Linked DNA regions of Mus musculus: regions 2, 3 and 4 are each reported to be linked to region 1. The links are microRNA targets in miRTarBase. Many come from high-throughput screens and were not tested one by one. Region 1 holds a microRNA gene; each other region holds the end of a gene's coding sequence.
What was found. Region 1 holds the annotated microRNA mmu-miR-362-5p (AAUCCUUGGAACCUAGGUGUGAAU, at 2,370-2,393, shown strand). A microRNA usually pairs through its seed, bases 2 to 8, with sites in the 3' UTR of a target mRNA and lowers its output. Matches are read on the target gene's strand: a 7mer-m8 pairs with bases 2 to 8, a 7mer-A1 pairs with bases 2 to 7 and ends in A, and an 8mer does both.

Region 2: the mRNA of Rsrc2 is a reported target of mmu-miR-362-5p. The part of its 3' UTR that is shown has no 7-base or 8-base seed match.
Region 3: the mRNA of Ikzf5 is a reported target of mmu-miR-362-5p. Seed matches in the 3' UTR shown: 7mer-A1 at 1,684-1,690.
Region 4: the mRNA of Ppm1e is a reported target of mmu-miR-362-5p. Seed matches in the 3' UTR shown: 7mer-A1 at 650-656.

Annotation. Positions count from the first base shown.
Region 1 is chrX:7,240,272-7,244,411 of GRCm38, reverse strand. Mir362 (microRNA 362) reads left to right here and starts at 2,366; the gene lies at 2,366-2,430. The region is part of intron 2 of Clcn5 (chloride channel, voltage-sensitive 5); the gene reads left to right. It overlaps Mir501 (microRNA 501), which reads left to right and starts at 3,061; the gene lies at 3,061-3,169.
Region 2 is chr5:123,725,713-123,729,852 of GRCm38, forward strand. Rsrc2 (arginine/serine-rich coiled-coil 2) reads right to left here. Exons shown (of 10, transcript NM_001005525.2): 10 at 2,714-3,644. The coding sequence ends at 3,465. Among named protein-coding and RNA genes, the nearest start is that of Zcchc8, 6.7 kb to the left of the region's middle.
Region 3 is chr7:131,389,210-131,392,209 of GRCm38, reverse strand. Ikzf5 (IKAROS family zinc finger 5) reads left to right here. Exons shown (of 4, transcript NM_175115.4): 4 at 1-3,000. The coding sequence ends at 573. It also overlaps a transcript of Pstk not described here. Among named protein-coding and RNA genes, the nearest start is that of Pstk, 20 kb to the right of the region's middle.
Region 4 is chr11:87,227,363-87,231,502 of GRCm38, forward strand. It overlaps Ppm1e (protein phosphatase 1E (PP2C domain containing)), which reads right to left. Exons shown (of 7, transcript NM_177167.4): 7 at 1-4,140. The coding sequence ends at 3,518. It also overlaps a transcript of Trim37 not described here. Among named protein-coding and RNA genes, the nearest start is that of Gm22883, 89 kb to the right of the region's middle.

The DNA.
Region 1 (4,140 bases):
GAGAGAGAGAGAGAGAGAGAGAGAGAGAGAGAGAGAGAGAGAGAGAGAGAGAAGAGAGAAAGAGAACATGAACACAAACAAGCTTGGGCCTGGCTTGGGGTTTTTGAAAGCTTAATGTCTACCTCTAGTGAGCTGACTCCTCGAACAAGGCCACACCACACCTTCTAATCCTTCCCAAAACAGCTTTACCTACTAGGGACCAAGCACTCCAGTATATGAACCTGTGAGGGCAATTTTTATTAAACCACCATGGGAGTGTATAGTTAAACTAATAAGGATTACTAGGTGATGAAATGTTATGTGACTACTATTGTATATGTAGTTTGTGGCTTACCAAACACCATGTAGTATGTGACTATAGTTCTGATTGTATGATAGTGTGCTGATATGTGGAGCCAGTGGTAAGTTGGGCAGTCCAGTCTTTGTAGCATGTGCATACAGGAGGATGAAAATCATTCTCACTGTGTACGATCACATATACATGCCTGAGAAGCTGCAGGATGCACTTCCTTACTTTAGCCTCCACTTTCTAAGTGTCAAACCTGATTCATCACGTTCTCAGCACACATAGGCAACCTTCAAATGCAGAGGCCCACTGACAGCTTAGCAGGAACAGAGTCCTGCTCCCCTAACCTTGTTCTCTTACACCTCTAAGGAAGGGTAGTGGGCTCTCTTGGTTTTCATCTTTGACGGAGCTGTTATAGGAAGGTATACTTGTTTGTTAACACTGACATTTTTGTAAACACATACCTAGACAGTCATAGATATGCTTTTGCATCAGCTGGGTAGATAGGAGAACAAATATGAATGAAGCCCATCTATAGCTAGGTGTACATCATATATAGGCCCGTGAGCATAGAAGGTTTCTTTTGTTTGATACACTTGTTTTCTCATAGAGAAAAATGCCTTACTGTCATTCATTTATATTCGCTCTCCCCCCTTCTCTACTTCTCCCCTCTCTCCTTACTCCTGACTCTCTTCACTCTCTGTGACATATAGTAGGAAAGTGAAAGATTGAAACTTGTGATTTTGTCTTTCATATCCCTCACAGAAAGGGGTGTGAACTTCGTTGATTTAGGCACATTGAAGAAGAATTACCAGAGAGCCAGTCCTTGCATTGCCTTTTACAGATTCTCCGAGTCACTGATATTCATGCCTCCTTCACCTGGCTTTTGCATATATGAGTATGACCATACTATTGTAAACAGGACATTCATTTAGACACATGTGTACAAAAATGGTAGTGTAAGAGGTAAAAATAATAGCCAGGGGCCAGGTCCTGCATCCTACTCTAGGCTTGCATCTTACCTAATTTTTTTGGTACTCTTTAAAGAGATAGCATTTGTTATTCTCATTTTTTAGAAGTAGTCCATGACCTTGGAGAAAGCAGGTAGATTCTTTAATCCAGTACATGGTGAAGTATAGGTTTGAAACAGGGTTTGTAGATACCAAACTCCACAGTTTCTCTGTCTTATCCATGATGCTGGTAAGGTCCCCAGCATCACCCAGCCCCTTTTAGAAATACAAAATCTTGAGCTCACTAATGAGAAACCTCTGTAAGTTATCTTAGTACCAAGTCCTCCAGGTATCTGAAGTAACTTTAACAAGATGCTGATGTGTGTTAAAGGATGCCAATCTCTACTGCCATCTTGTGAGCTTATGGCCTCTTCTCTCTGTCTCTCTGTCTTTTTTTCTTTCAGTATTTTGTATCTCTGGCTTTATATTTTTATAATCTCAGAACAAAATATGAATGTATATATTTAGACAGGTTTCTCTGTCTCTGTCTGTCTGTCTGTCTGTCTGTCTCTCTGTCTCTGTCTCTCTTTGTCTCTGTGTCTGTCTGTCACTCTGTCTCTCTCTCTCTCTCTCTCTCTCTCTCTCTTTCTGTGTATGTGTGTGGAGGGTGCAGAGGTCAACCTGAGGTGCTTCCCCTTTGGGGACATCTACCCTGTTTTTTGAAACAGTCTCTAATAGGGACTTGGCACTCACCAGTTAGGCCAAGGGATCTAGCTTTCTTTGAGTCCTCACGCTTGGCTCTTTTATGTGGAGGCTGGGAGTTGAACTCAGGTGCCTAGACATACTTAATGTGAAGCTCAAGAACATTGTCTTCTTTCTCATCACAGATAAGCACCTTGTGTCAAAGGTGAGCCCATGCGTTCATTTGCTGTGAGCCTTTTGCCCTGCTTCAGTTCTCTGATCCTTGCTACCTGGGTGAGAGTGTTCTTCAGCAAGGATTCTGAGAGCCAGACCTTTGTGTTTGTAAAGGACAGAGCGCATCTCTCGTTCTCTTTTAGTGTGTTGCACACAAGCATATTGACCACACACAGGAAGGGCAGGTTCCTGAGCCTTCTTGCTTGCTCCCCCTCTCGAATCCTTGGAACCTAGGTGTGAATGCTGCTTCAGTGCAACACACCTGTTCAAGGATTCAAAGAGGCTGAGCCTTGTCTGCGTGTAGAATGGCCCATACTTGCACATCTCACCTGCCACCTTCCCTCCTCCTGGCCACCATTTGATTTTGGTTTTAGCTGTCAGACTTGGTTCTACACATTTTCTAACAGCAAAATGGTCTTTATCATGTTTGGTAGACATGCTTCTATTCTCAGCATGAGCTTTCTTGATTCCCAGTTTGCTAAGTGTCAGATCATGTGATGAGGAGCACACATTAGGTGCTGCTACTCAGGCAACCCGTTTGTTACATCCAGTGATAACCCCTGTTCCACAAAGCTTGAATTGTATAAAGGCATTGGAAAGGAATGGAGTATCCTCCTCCACTGTGCCCTCTTTCAGTATGTATATGCATTCTCAGATCCCAGCCTTCTTGCTACCTTCCAAACATAAATCAGGCCCCCACAAATTCTCAAGTATGATCTGGGAGAGATACCATTTTGTATACGTAGAAGTTTTCTCTGAGAGAGGATGCTCATGGTGGGAAGGGGGCAGATACATATATAAATCAGGGATGTCAAGCTTGGGTATAGGTGGTGATGCTTGGCTGAATCAGGACAAGGAAAATTAAATATTATATACAGAACCACACAAACATGGTACAGGTGCCTGGGCCTTCTGCTCTGCTCATCCTCTCTAATCCTTTGTCCCTGGGTGAAAATGCTATTTGTATGCAATGCACCCGGGCAAGGATTTGGGGAAGGTGAGCCTGATCTGCATGGAGAAGGACAGGAGGTCTGTGCATCATATCTCATCTGTTTGCTGCTTGCATACTTCTTTTATGCCTCCCCCCACCTTCTTTCCTTCTACAAATACAACGGGCATGGTGCATGGGAGAGTAAATGTGACAAATTTGGCCTCTTCCCACCTAGATTTTATAGGTAGAACTTTATTTCCACTTATGACCCTAACAGGTATCAAGAACAAGTGGGGCACATAGTAAACTGTGTATTGACATAAGTGCGCAGCTTTTCATTCTAGTTCTCATACCGACACCTGGAAGAGAAATTCTTCTTTAGTTCAACTCTTGGAGGAATGCACAGGGCAAGAACAGTAAGCCTTCTTGTTGAACCCACATGCCAAGGGCATAGGTGCAGGCTGTGCCTTTCTAGTACTTGCTACTTGGATGAGTGTGCTTTGCGAATGCAATATACCTGGGCAAGGGTTCAGACATTGAGTTATCTTCATGTAGGACCTTTACGCCTCCTTCCACTGTTTCCTGTCTATTTATTCAGTATGGCAGGTACTCAACTAGGGATTTGGTCCACAGGAGTATGAACCACATGTGGTTCAGGGAGCAAATGGTCCAGGGAGAGTGAGCTGTGTCACATCCATTATGCCTGCATGAGTGGACTGTAGACTGGGACTTCATGTACACTGTCCACTTGGATTCTTCCATATTTTAACACAGTCCCATATAAATGCAGTGTATACAGAGGAGAGGATTCACAGACTTGTGCCCACAGAGAGGATTATCTGACCTGATTCATCAGGAACATTAATCCTCAGCACAAGTGCTGTTTTCAATAGTAAGTCCTGTCCAAGGAATCCAAAGGGTGGCACTTCGCCTGCACTTTAAAGGACAGAGCCCCTATATGTCCACACCCCTGTTCCTTTTCCTTCCTTTCACAAATATTCAGGTATGCACTATTTGATACAGCTCTGTTAGTCATAGAGGATGTAGCAGGAAACAAA
Region 2 (4,140 bases), not on the chromosome of region 1:
ACAATCAAAAGCAAAATCAACCCCCAACTTCCCCTTACTATGTCTTTCTTCTTCTTCTTCTTCTTCTTCTTCTTCTTCTTCTTCTTCTTCTTCTTCTTCTTCTTCTTCTTCTTCTTCTTCTTCTTCTTCTTCCTCCTCCTCCTCCTCCTCCTCCTCCTCCTCCTCCTCTTCTTCTTCTTCTTCTTCTTCTTCTTCTTCTTCTTCTTCTTCTTCTTCGAGACAGGGTTTCTCTGTATAGCCCTGGCTGTCCTGGAACTCACTCTGTAGACCAGGCTGGCCTTGAACTCAGAAATCCACCTGTCTCTGCCTCCCAAGTGCTGGGATTAAAGGCGTGCGCCACCACCACCACCGGCTTCTATGTTTATTCTTAATAATCCTGCATTCACTTCCTGTCAACTGGTTGCTTGCTCTGCCTCTTGACATATGGGTGACTTTATCTCTTTACAAAGTTCAGGCAGAGAGCTCCTGTGTTAAAGGTGTGTGCTAAGGCTGAGCCACACAATTAAAACAAGGTTTTTCAAATAAATACCATAATCTCAGGGTTCATAGTGTGATCAAATAATCTGTGCCACATCTGGAAGAGCCCAGAGTAGAGCGAAGTATACTAAACAGAAAGAACATGGTCAGCAGACTAGACATGGCCAGGGCTATCATGCAAGGGAGATAGAGAATAGAGAAAAGCATAGAAAGAAGAACAGAAGTGGAGCAGTGGTCCAGAAAAACGTCAGCTTTTATCTGACTGCCAGACATCCCAAACAATGAAGGTAAAGTTAGTTTGTAGAAGGAAGCACCCATCTCTGAAAATGTCTGAGTGGCAGAGTGACAAATCTGAGAAAGATTTGACAGAATAAGATATTCCCAACTCTCAAGAGGAGAGATAAGGAAAACTAGGAGAGCAGTGGAGAAAGAAAGAGGAAGGAGGTGGCTTTCTTTTTTCTTTTCCAGGCAGGGTTTCTTTGTGTTCTGGAACTCACTCTGTAGACCAGGCTGGCCTCGAACTCAGAAATCCACCTGCCTCCACCTCCCAAGTGCTGGGATTAAAGGTGTGTGCCACTACTGCCCGGCTGGAAGGAGTCAGTTTTATTGAGACAGTTAGTTGTACAGAGAGACTGGAGAGAGAACAGGCTAGCCACAGATGAAGACAGAATGAACCAGAGAATGAGGAGCCGCATCAGAACAGTTAGTTGAGGCCGAGCAGAGCAAATTCAGTCAGAAGCCCAGTCTGAATGAATTAGCTTGGGACCAGTTTGGAAAGAACTAGAAAGGGTGATCTTAGCATTAGGTCTCAGAGGTTGAAAATATTCTAGGCCTAGGTTAGTGTATGGAAGCTAGAAGCTTAGATTAGCAAGGATTATAAGGCATGGAGACAATTACTATAGAAGAATAAAAGGTATCTTTACAATGGGGGCAAGGTACTGATCTCTACAGAGGCATACTGTCTAATCAGAAAAAAATGAATGGGAGCAGTTCTGAGGGAGAGGAAACTGTGCACTTGGGGTTTGAGGTTTTATAGGCCAGGAAAGAGAAGTTTTAGATGAAAAGATTTTAGTCTATAGATCTAGGATCTATTTCCTCCAAATAAACCTTTTGATGGAGATCCTTATTATGTTGACATAATTATCAGCTCTCAAAGGAGGGCCTATTGAACTGCTGACCCTAGGGGTACCTGCTCCTGCTATTATCCGGTCAGCTCTAGCAAGTTCCTCAGGCTTCTGAGTTATTAACCCTTAAGGTCTCAGGGTTAAAATTTTATGTACAAACTCCCAAATCTTCATTGAGTAGATAGGTCAGGTCATAAATAATCCACTCAAGAAATGTCACTTAATACAATTTAATGAAGGAAAGCCTAAGTTCTTTCAATGGTTCAGGCTGTACTTCCAGATCAGACCGTGGTAGTTGAAAATCAGGCATGTGTGACATGAGCTGAGAGACCCATCTTGCCATCTATTCGTGAGTGTGTATGTTTAAATTTTAAGTCTTAGTGCTTCAGGCACTAAGTTTATCTGTGGGAATAGTTGTGTCTGAGACAATGGTCTTCCAAGACTTTTGAGATCTCATGTGCTCCTGTTTATGCAGTGGTGAAGATCAAACCCATGGCTAGGCAAGAGCGGCCTTTTCCAGTGGTTTGTTTACCTGTAGCCTAGGCTGGCCTGAGGCAATCTTCCTGTCTTTGCCTCTCTAGGGATGGATGGGATTCCAGCCTTTTTGTCCTTTCTCCAAGAAGTTATTTAATGGTTTTAGCAGACAGAGTTTATGTGTACAGTCCTGGCAGTCACTCTAGACCAGGCTGGCCTCAAACTCGAGATCTGCCTGCCTCAGTCAGAGTTCCCCTTTCAAGAAGGAATTTTAATAGTCCCATTATCACAGATAGACTCCTATTTCATCACTTGTAGGTCTTTACCATATGGTAGTTATACTATGTTAAGCTGGGTGTCCCTTACATGACCACCCACCACAAAGCACAGGGCTCTAGCCAACAGCCCTGAGATATCATTCAAGTCTGAGCTTCACAAAGTTGTTTTCCTGTGTGGCTTTTTTTTTTCTTTTTGAGATAAGACTGTAGACCAACCTGGCCTATAACTTTCAGCCATATACCTGTCTCTTAAGTGCTGGGATTAAAAGTGTGAGCTATGTTTTTTCCCCCTTTCTCATGTCTTAGTTCCTGCTGAACAATACTTCAAAAGGGATAATAAGCAAATAGCATACAATGGACTTGTTATAAGGCACTTTATTAGAGTAAAAGTGCTCACATCCCTTTAATACTTTAGTCTATTTCCTGATTAACATGGATTAACAAATACTGCACACCAATTGTGCCTTACAGTAGAAACAGTACTATTTTAATATGCTCCACTCACCCTCCCTTTACAGCTCGCTGTGGTATTGTCTATATTGTCTACACCTTATAATAGAGGCTATAAAAAGGCATTTATAACCAGTTTTTTAATTATAAAAACAAACAAACAACCTCCCAAACCAAACAGCAGGTAACTTAAATTAACACCAGTTTTGAGAAAACCATTTTTATTATCACTGCCCAGCTTGTGTGCAGGATTATGTACCAAATGGCCAGATCTTCTAAAGAACATCTACATAACATTTCTTTCATGTTTCAAGAGATGAAAATAACTGTACAAGGTTAAGTACAAAAGTACACAAGACAGCGGACACGAGAAAAATCTATGCATGAGATTTTATCCCACCCGAAGCTTTAATATATTTGAAAAGTAGAATTCATGAACTAAAAAATATTGTCCTTCTATAGTCCTGTCAAGTTTAATGGAAGTGGGTTGAACCTGATTACAACACTAACACCAGTATCACTGATCTGATATTTACAAAAAAATCGTATTTTTCAATAAATTAAAGTCAATGCAACACCCATGCAAGCTAGAATACTAGCTGTGTGGTGAACAAGGACCCAACATCAGAACAAGTCTATAAAGTCCCAAATTGATATTTTTTCAAACTGTATCCATTCCACGCATTGAAGATGTGAAACCCAAACCCATTCCTCTTTGTGTGTGGGTTTGTGATCTTGCCATTTCATACTGAGCATCAAGATTGCGAAAAACTTCTTCTTGTTGCTTTAAAGTCTTATAACTTTCTTCATCAACGGAGCTACAGCCAGCTTCATCTTCACTCTAAATACCAGACACAAAAGGTGTTAACTGTTAAACCATTATCAGGAGCACAGGTATGCTGTCTGAGTCGTGGTGCCCTTGAGACTGGACATGGACAGTTCTGAACTTTCATGTGGATGATGAGCATCAAACCTGTGGCCTCTGGAGCCCCCTCTCCAGCACCAGACATAAACTTTTTTTTTTTTTTGGGGGGGGGAGGGGGGGGTGTTGGAGACAGGGTTTCTCTGTGTAGCCCTGGATGTCCTGGAACTCACTCTGTAGACCAGGCTGGCCTCGAACTCAGGGATCAGCCTGCCTCTGTGTCCCAAGTGCTGGGAGTAAAGGCATACGCCACCACTGCCCGGCTCAGATATACACTATTAAAGATGATAGCTATTAAAACACTTGTAAGTACAAAGACATTATGGGAACATAGCACAATAGCTTATTGTAAGTAGTATGGTAAAGGATAGTGCACCTAAGACCGAGCACATATGTAACTGCCATAAGTAAAGTG
Region 3 (3,000 bases), not on the chromosome of region 1:
ATGGCTAAAACTACACCAACTGGTGGCCTGCCAAGGGACCCCCAAGAACTCATGGTTGACAACCCTTTGAATCAGCTCTCTACTTTAGCAGGACAGTTGTCCAGCTTGCCACCAGAAAACCAAAACCCTGCCTCTCCTGATGTAGATGCCTGCCCTGATGAAAAGCCTTTCATGATTCAGCAACCCTCTGCCCAAGCAGTTGTCTCTGCTGTGTCAGCAAGTATTCCTCAGAGCTCCTCCCCCACAAGTCCGGAACCGCGGCCATCGCATAGTCAGAGGAACTACAGTCCAGTGGCAGGGCCCAGCAGTGAACCAAGTGCCCACACCAGTACTCCCAGCATAGGAAACAGCCAGCCAAGCACTCCAGCTCCAACCCTGCCGGTGCAGGATCCTCAGCTTCTACACCACTGCCAGCACTGTGACGTGTACTTTGCAGACAACGTCCTTTACACTGTCCACATGGGGTGCCATGGGTATGACAGCCCCTTTCAGTGTAACGTATGTGGGTGCAAATGTAAAGACAAGTACGATTTTGCCTGTCATTTTGCAAGAGGGCAACACAACCAGCACTGAACACAATCAACATTGTTCTCACTTGGTTTGGCCTTTTGGGAGTTTGTAGTTTGGTTTTTAGTTTGATCATCCCTAATAAGGTATATGCTAATTTAAAATTTATACATTCTAGTCTATAAAATAGAAGTTTGATAGTGAAAAAGGGTTTTGTTAACTTTTCATAAAAGTCTGGTCAGGGTTATTTATGCATTAGATAGTTAGATGCATTGCTGTCTTTTTCATTTACACCTATGAGAGTTAAAGTACAGTTGTAATCAGTTTCCTACACTTGTCCATAAGGATTCCCAGGGTTATCTGTACTCCTGATGCTTCAGGATATACATTACAGCTAATGTTCTTTCTGCCATATGTCAAAATGGCACACTTCTCATAAAATCTTTTATAACATTTCAGTGTTTATAGACAAACTGCCTTTAAGTTTGCTCCTAATTAAAATACTATTTTCATTCACATAACTTAAGTTGAATTAGTTTCATTACAACCAAAACCAGTAGTTATTTCAGTGTAATAAATATTTCTCTTCAAGGAGAAGCATAAAACAGTTCTTTCAAATTTAAATTATAAAATGAAAATCTTGGAAGTTGAAATTTGGGGCTAAATTGAAAATTGTGTTTGGTATTTGAGATATCTGTTCATTTAATGTGTAAACATGTTAGTTTTTAGCTTTTCATTTATATATGTATTTATATATTTTGAGTATTATTTTAAAGCCACAGGTAAATATACTAGAGTGCTAGATGCCTTTTTTCAATCTGATCTTTCATGTAAATTCTGCATTCACCTGTTACTGGTGTCAGGTAAGATTGACAGCCACACTGATTATTTTATTCTTCCCAGTCTTTGATGACCAAAGAGGAAGTGAGCGCATCATCCCACTGAGATGCTTCCAGAGCCTCCGAGGCTCCTTTCCTGCCCTCTGTGCATAATTGCCCGTAATGTCCACGAAGGGTTGGTCTAGAAACCCAGAGACGTAATAAGTGAGGAAACAGCTACAAACCCAGAGCATGCCCAGACAGAGCCTCCTTGCCTCTCCAGAGCAGAGCAGGCCATGGAAAGTCCTCCCTGTGAGTCTTTATGGACAGAGACGGTGGGATCGTCACCACAGTGGGAAAGGATAAATAGAGTTATTATGAAGCACATTTAAATGTGTCATTTAACTTACTTAGAATTAGAGTGGTTCATTTTATATAGGAAGCCATTATTTTTGTATTGTGTAATAAGTAGCTTACTCTGAAGAGAGCCTGGCAAAACAATAAAACATTGTCACTTACTATTGGTTTCTGTGTACCTTGCAAATTTTTCATTTTTATTTGGTTAATAGCTTGAAAATATTCTCAATTGGCTTCTTAAAGAAATACCCTGTCAAGCATTTATTAACCAAAAAATAGCCTCTTACAGTAAATAAGAGGGAACTATGAGAGTGTCTACCCGTGAAGCCCCAAGTGCCCTGGTAATGGACCTGCTCTCCCTCCCTGTGCTGGAAAGCCATTCCGAGGGTGCCTGTGCGTACACAGCCAGTCTTGGCTCCTCCCAACTGCACTGTTAAAGCGCAGCCCCGAAGACACTTTCTAGTGATTTTGGTCTGTTGCTTAAATCATTTACTAGATTAGTTTTAGGGCAACACTTTCCAAATACATAACTTGACTGTTGTGCTTATCAGCTGCCAGAAAGAAACAGGTTATTGTTGGGAAACCTTGCTGTTTTTAAAGTTTGATTCAATTAAAAGCAATACTTCCAAATAGACAGTGAAAACTTCCCAAAAGAGGAAGAAGCCCAGTGTACTGCCGCACATCTGTAGTCCCAGCTGCTTGAAGCAGAGGCGGGAAGAGTGCTAGAGCCCAGGAGGTCCCTGCCAGGCCGGGCAACACTGCAAGACACAGTCTCAAAGGCCAAGCAGCCGAAAGGGCTCTCCTCACAGCCAGCTTTATCACCTCTACGTTCTGGGCCAAACAGTGACATGGGCATTTTGGTTTTCCTAACAACTAACGATGAATGTTCTGAAGGTACATTTCATTTTAAATACGGAAAAAACTTTTCATAATTACAGACAAGAAGGAAAAACCCCCGATTTTCCAATAATATAAAGAGCACAGTTGGTCTTCCAAAGGTGTCCATGTGTGAAGCTACAAGTACTTCGAAATGCACTAAAATTTTGAAGCAAATCTACCTTAGGAACTTTTTTGAAATTGTACTTTTAAAGGTTTAGGCTTTTGCTTAAATATTCTGAGTTAAATTCTGTACTAGGAAAGATGTTGGATTCTTTCCTTAAATACTAAATAAGTTCCTCATCTTATTTTTAATCAAATGTTTTATAGAAATGAGTTGAGAAAAGTTGACCATGCACTATTTATAGTACTTTGCCATAACAGGCAATGTTCTAAAACTAAATTTATTTTTGTTTAGTGAACATGAGTTTAGATTTTTAAA
Region 4 (4,140 bases), not on the chromosome of region 1:
AGAAACAACCATCTTTTCATAGATCAAAACAGGAGAGTGTTGGGGCTTTGTTTTTTTATCCTGGTTTTAAAAGGTGAAAAAAATCTTTTAGTAACTTATAATCCAAAGAAAATTTCCCCAAACAAAGGTTTGAACAAAACTATAGTATCCTCTTGTACTTAGGGGGAAAAGCACATTGAACAAATTGAGTTTAAAAATTAAAATAATTTAGACCTTTTCTCACAAAGCCTCAGGAAGCCTTTGGTGGGGAGGAAGAACTTGAAGCACAGCAGTTTACTTGTCCGCAACCCTGAGCTGCGTCACGCATCATGTCCATCTGCCCCTTGGATGCCGGCCTCTTACTGGCACAGTGTTCTAGCAATGGAGTGTGGTGTCATGGAAATGGAGCGGTGCTGCTGTACCAGGCGACTGTGGTCAGGACTAGACTTAGTGTTGACATTACTAACATTGTCCTTTGAAATGATGATCCTTTCAAGGCTCCTTCTGTTAAATGCAACATGGACTTTAATTGTATTACTTCAAGGACAATGGATGGCACTTATAGGTAAAGAAAAGGTATATACATGTTTTTCTGTCTGACCTCTGTTGTACAGACATAAATATTACTAATAGCCCCAGTATTTGGTGCTGTAATGTTGCCAATCTCAGTTATCCTTCCCAATATACATGTCTCAAAAAGTGAAAAAAAGAAACCTTTGAAATTCGGGACTGATGCCCTTTGAGACTCACAGTGAATGTACAAGGAGTAGTAATCTCGGTTGGTGACTTGTCTACTTTCCTATCAGATACTACACTTTCTTGTTTATATTTGTTTTGCTATTTCCTACTTTAACAAAACTGTTTTAGCAAGCAAACAAATTGATGCAGATCATGTTAATTGAAAAAGTGATACTGCCACTCTTTAAGGATCGAGTGTAGAACTTTCACCACCACTAAATTGCACAAAGAAATAGAGGTACAAAACACATAATTCACAGACTATACCTCAGCATTTACAGTTAATATATATTGTATAGATACTTTTATATCTGTCTAATAATTGTACAATCACCAGATACACCATCATTAAGTATAAGTTACAGAAATGTATAGATACCGTTAGTTAGAGGGTTACTTATTGCTTACATTAGCAAGCAGCAAATAAGGGCAGAGGATTTGAACTGAAGGGAACTACTTCCTATCACCAGTGGCATTAAGATTTAACACTGCATTTCACAAAGCACTGCTTCTTGTCTGGTTTATAGAACCAACAGCAGCATTTATCAGGCCAATAACCACTACTTTAATATTATAGAATGTTAAAGGACTTACCTTACAAATGGTACCTAACTACCTTATAAATACGCACATTGTGAACAAATGAAGTTAGTTTTTACATTATTGGTTTATTAACTTGACCACACTAGAAATACTTTTCTCTATTTTCTAGAGAGCTAGTGATATGAGAAATGGAGTTAACACTGCTGTGTAGTCAGACCTACAAAATCCAGACCTTTCAAATGGGTCTGTTTGTCCCGGTTTCATCCACCCAGTTTTTTTACCCCACTGATAAGCCTATATCACCTCAAAATTTTTCTTTTCTCCTCATTCTGATCAAAATCATTGCCAACAGGTAACCACAGATGATCTTAGCTACTTTGGGATATGAATGTTCATCTGTGTTCTGCTGCCTTGTTTTCTTAGAAATTTTGGTTTGAAAGTGACCCTGTACCTGATGGGTTGTCAACAAGACCTGGGCTTCAAAAAACAACAACCATGTGTGAGGGCCATGTGTAGGCAGAGCATGAGAGAGAGGAGGATGAAATTAACACTGCTGAGGAGGAGCCGCGGGTATTCCTCTCCACCTGTGTATCACAGGTACTGTCGGAGAGGGGTAGACCGACTCCAAGGTCAACAGAAAACACTGAGAATCTCCGCTTACTCTCAAGTTTTGAAAAATAAAAGCTATAGATTAACAGTGTAACCATTGCTGAAGAGAAGCTGAGTTTTGGTCTCTTTAACAACTTGATGTAACCATGATATATGTTAGTCATCTATGTCTTGAAATTTGGGAATCTTAGCCCTCTGTGGGTCTGGAGAATGCAGCATGAATTGTGTTACGTAGACCGTGGATAGGAGCAGCAGTGCCTCAGCAAGAACATTTAGCAGTGCCTGCACTGGGAGCAATGGCTCTAGCAGCTACTCTTGCCTGTTGGCCTGACTGGCCCAGGGTGGGGGTGAGGGTGGGGAACATGAGGACATGGATGCATTCATGGCTGAGAGAAACCAGGCTGCCTCACTGAACAGATACGATCGCGTACTTGCTGTCTTTATGCTTTGAAACTTTGAAATGGCAGAAGGTGGTTGATTTAAAACTATATACCTTAAGTATTGAAAGGATTTAAAACTATATAAACTATAACTTAAGTATTGAAATGAGAAGCACATGACCTGTCACTGTAGTCTGAAGCAAGTAGCTGGACTCTGGCTTGTCTTCCAGTTATAACTAAACAGCCCTGGCTCTCAGTAATCTGCATTCTCCTTTGCACTTGGCCTCTGGGTTCACACTCAGCCTCCTTCATACCAATTACTTCATTCCCTTGGGGAAAACAATTTTAGAGAAGTTAAAACTATCATTTTTTTCATTCTCCAAACTACGTTTTATATTATAATAATATATGCCTTTGCTGTCTGTAAACATAAAAAAAAGCAGAAAATATAGAAATGCTATTTCACAACTCTTTTTAAATGGCATGATTCTTATATTGTACCTCACATCATCTCTGCTAAACCACTTTATTCCTGAGATGAAGGTACTGTGAAAAACATTAGCATCATAGGTTACAACCAGCTGATGGTGGTCTCCTAAAATGCCAAGTAACAAAATCCCATCAAAAGCACCATAACAGGTTATAAAACGTTCAAATAACTAAAACCTTATGAAGTATTTTAATTAAAAATGTCATAGTTGCCTTTCATTTTCTATGAAAAGTGAATGATCTTACTGTATCCTGCCTCCCAAGTCTGAGAACATGACACTTTGGTACCGGCTTACTGCGTCTCATCAGCAGTTTAGGCCCGTGTGGCTTTTAGGCTTTCACCTACCCACACAATTGGGAAGAGATGCTCCATAGTCCCCAAGATCTTGAGGGACATTTCCCAACAAAATTTAATTCTGCATTGTTTCCTTTAGAGTAGGCACATCAGACCAGATAGTTGCGATTTCCATACCATATATTCTGACTCGAATAACTTTCAAGCTTCCACTAGTGACGTGAAGGGATGGTGGAGAGGGGCTGTCTGTGGTATAGAGACACATCACAGGGACCAGTTGAATAATTTCTCTAGTGAAACCGCCAATACTTTTGATTAGATTGAAAATGCTATTTTGAATTTCCTAACAATCTATGTACATTTAAGGGTTGAGCCATCCGTGGATTCATAATGAAGCACATGTACGTTAAAAATGTCTACCTTGTTTCTACTCTGATAGTTATATTTCTGAGAGAACTAGCTAGCCTATGTTGAAGAAAAAGTCTTAAATTTTATAGCTCCAGGGAAAGTCTGGGCATGGAATATCATTACGCTTTCTGATCTTCACATTTCCACTATATCCTTCCCAACTATTTTCCCTCCATGGCAAAGAACTTCTTAACATCTTGTTTCTCTTCCCACTTCGAGTAAGTGAGGAGAGGCTAATGCCTATTTTGTGAGAAGGCTCTCGAGCAGACAGAAACGAGTAAAACTTTGGATTAAACCTGAATCCACGCTGCCTTTTGGAGTAGTGGTGGCGTAAATGATACAACCTAGACGCTGTCTTCCCCCGGGATTTGAACTGTTCATTTTCCAACCCAGAACTGACAGGAGACAAGTTCTCCATTCTGCATATCTGTTGCCCTGTTGAACCCAAATTAAAAGAAACCCGAGGCTCTCCAGCACCACTCCGTTCAGGCAATGATGACTTGACTGATCTCTCCTCCATTATTAGCTCATTAAGATCTTTCTTTGGTGCACCAGGACCAATCATCTCAACTGGTGGCAAAAATTGGGTACTGTGAGGTTTGCTTGCTTCTATTTGTGTGAGATCTAGGTAGTCTGGATCTTCCAGCACGTTGATTTGGGGCCCTGGGCTGAGGCTAGTTCTATCAGTGAATGAATCCA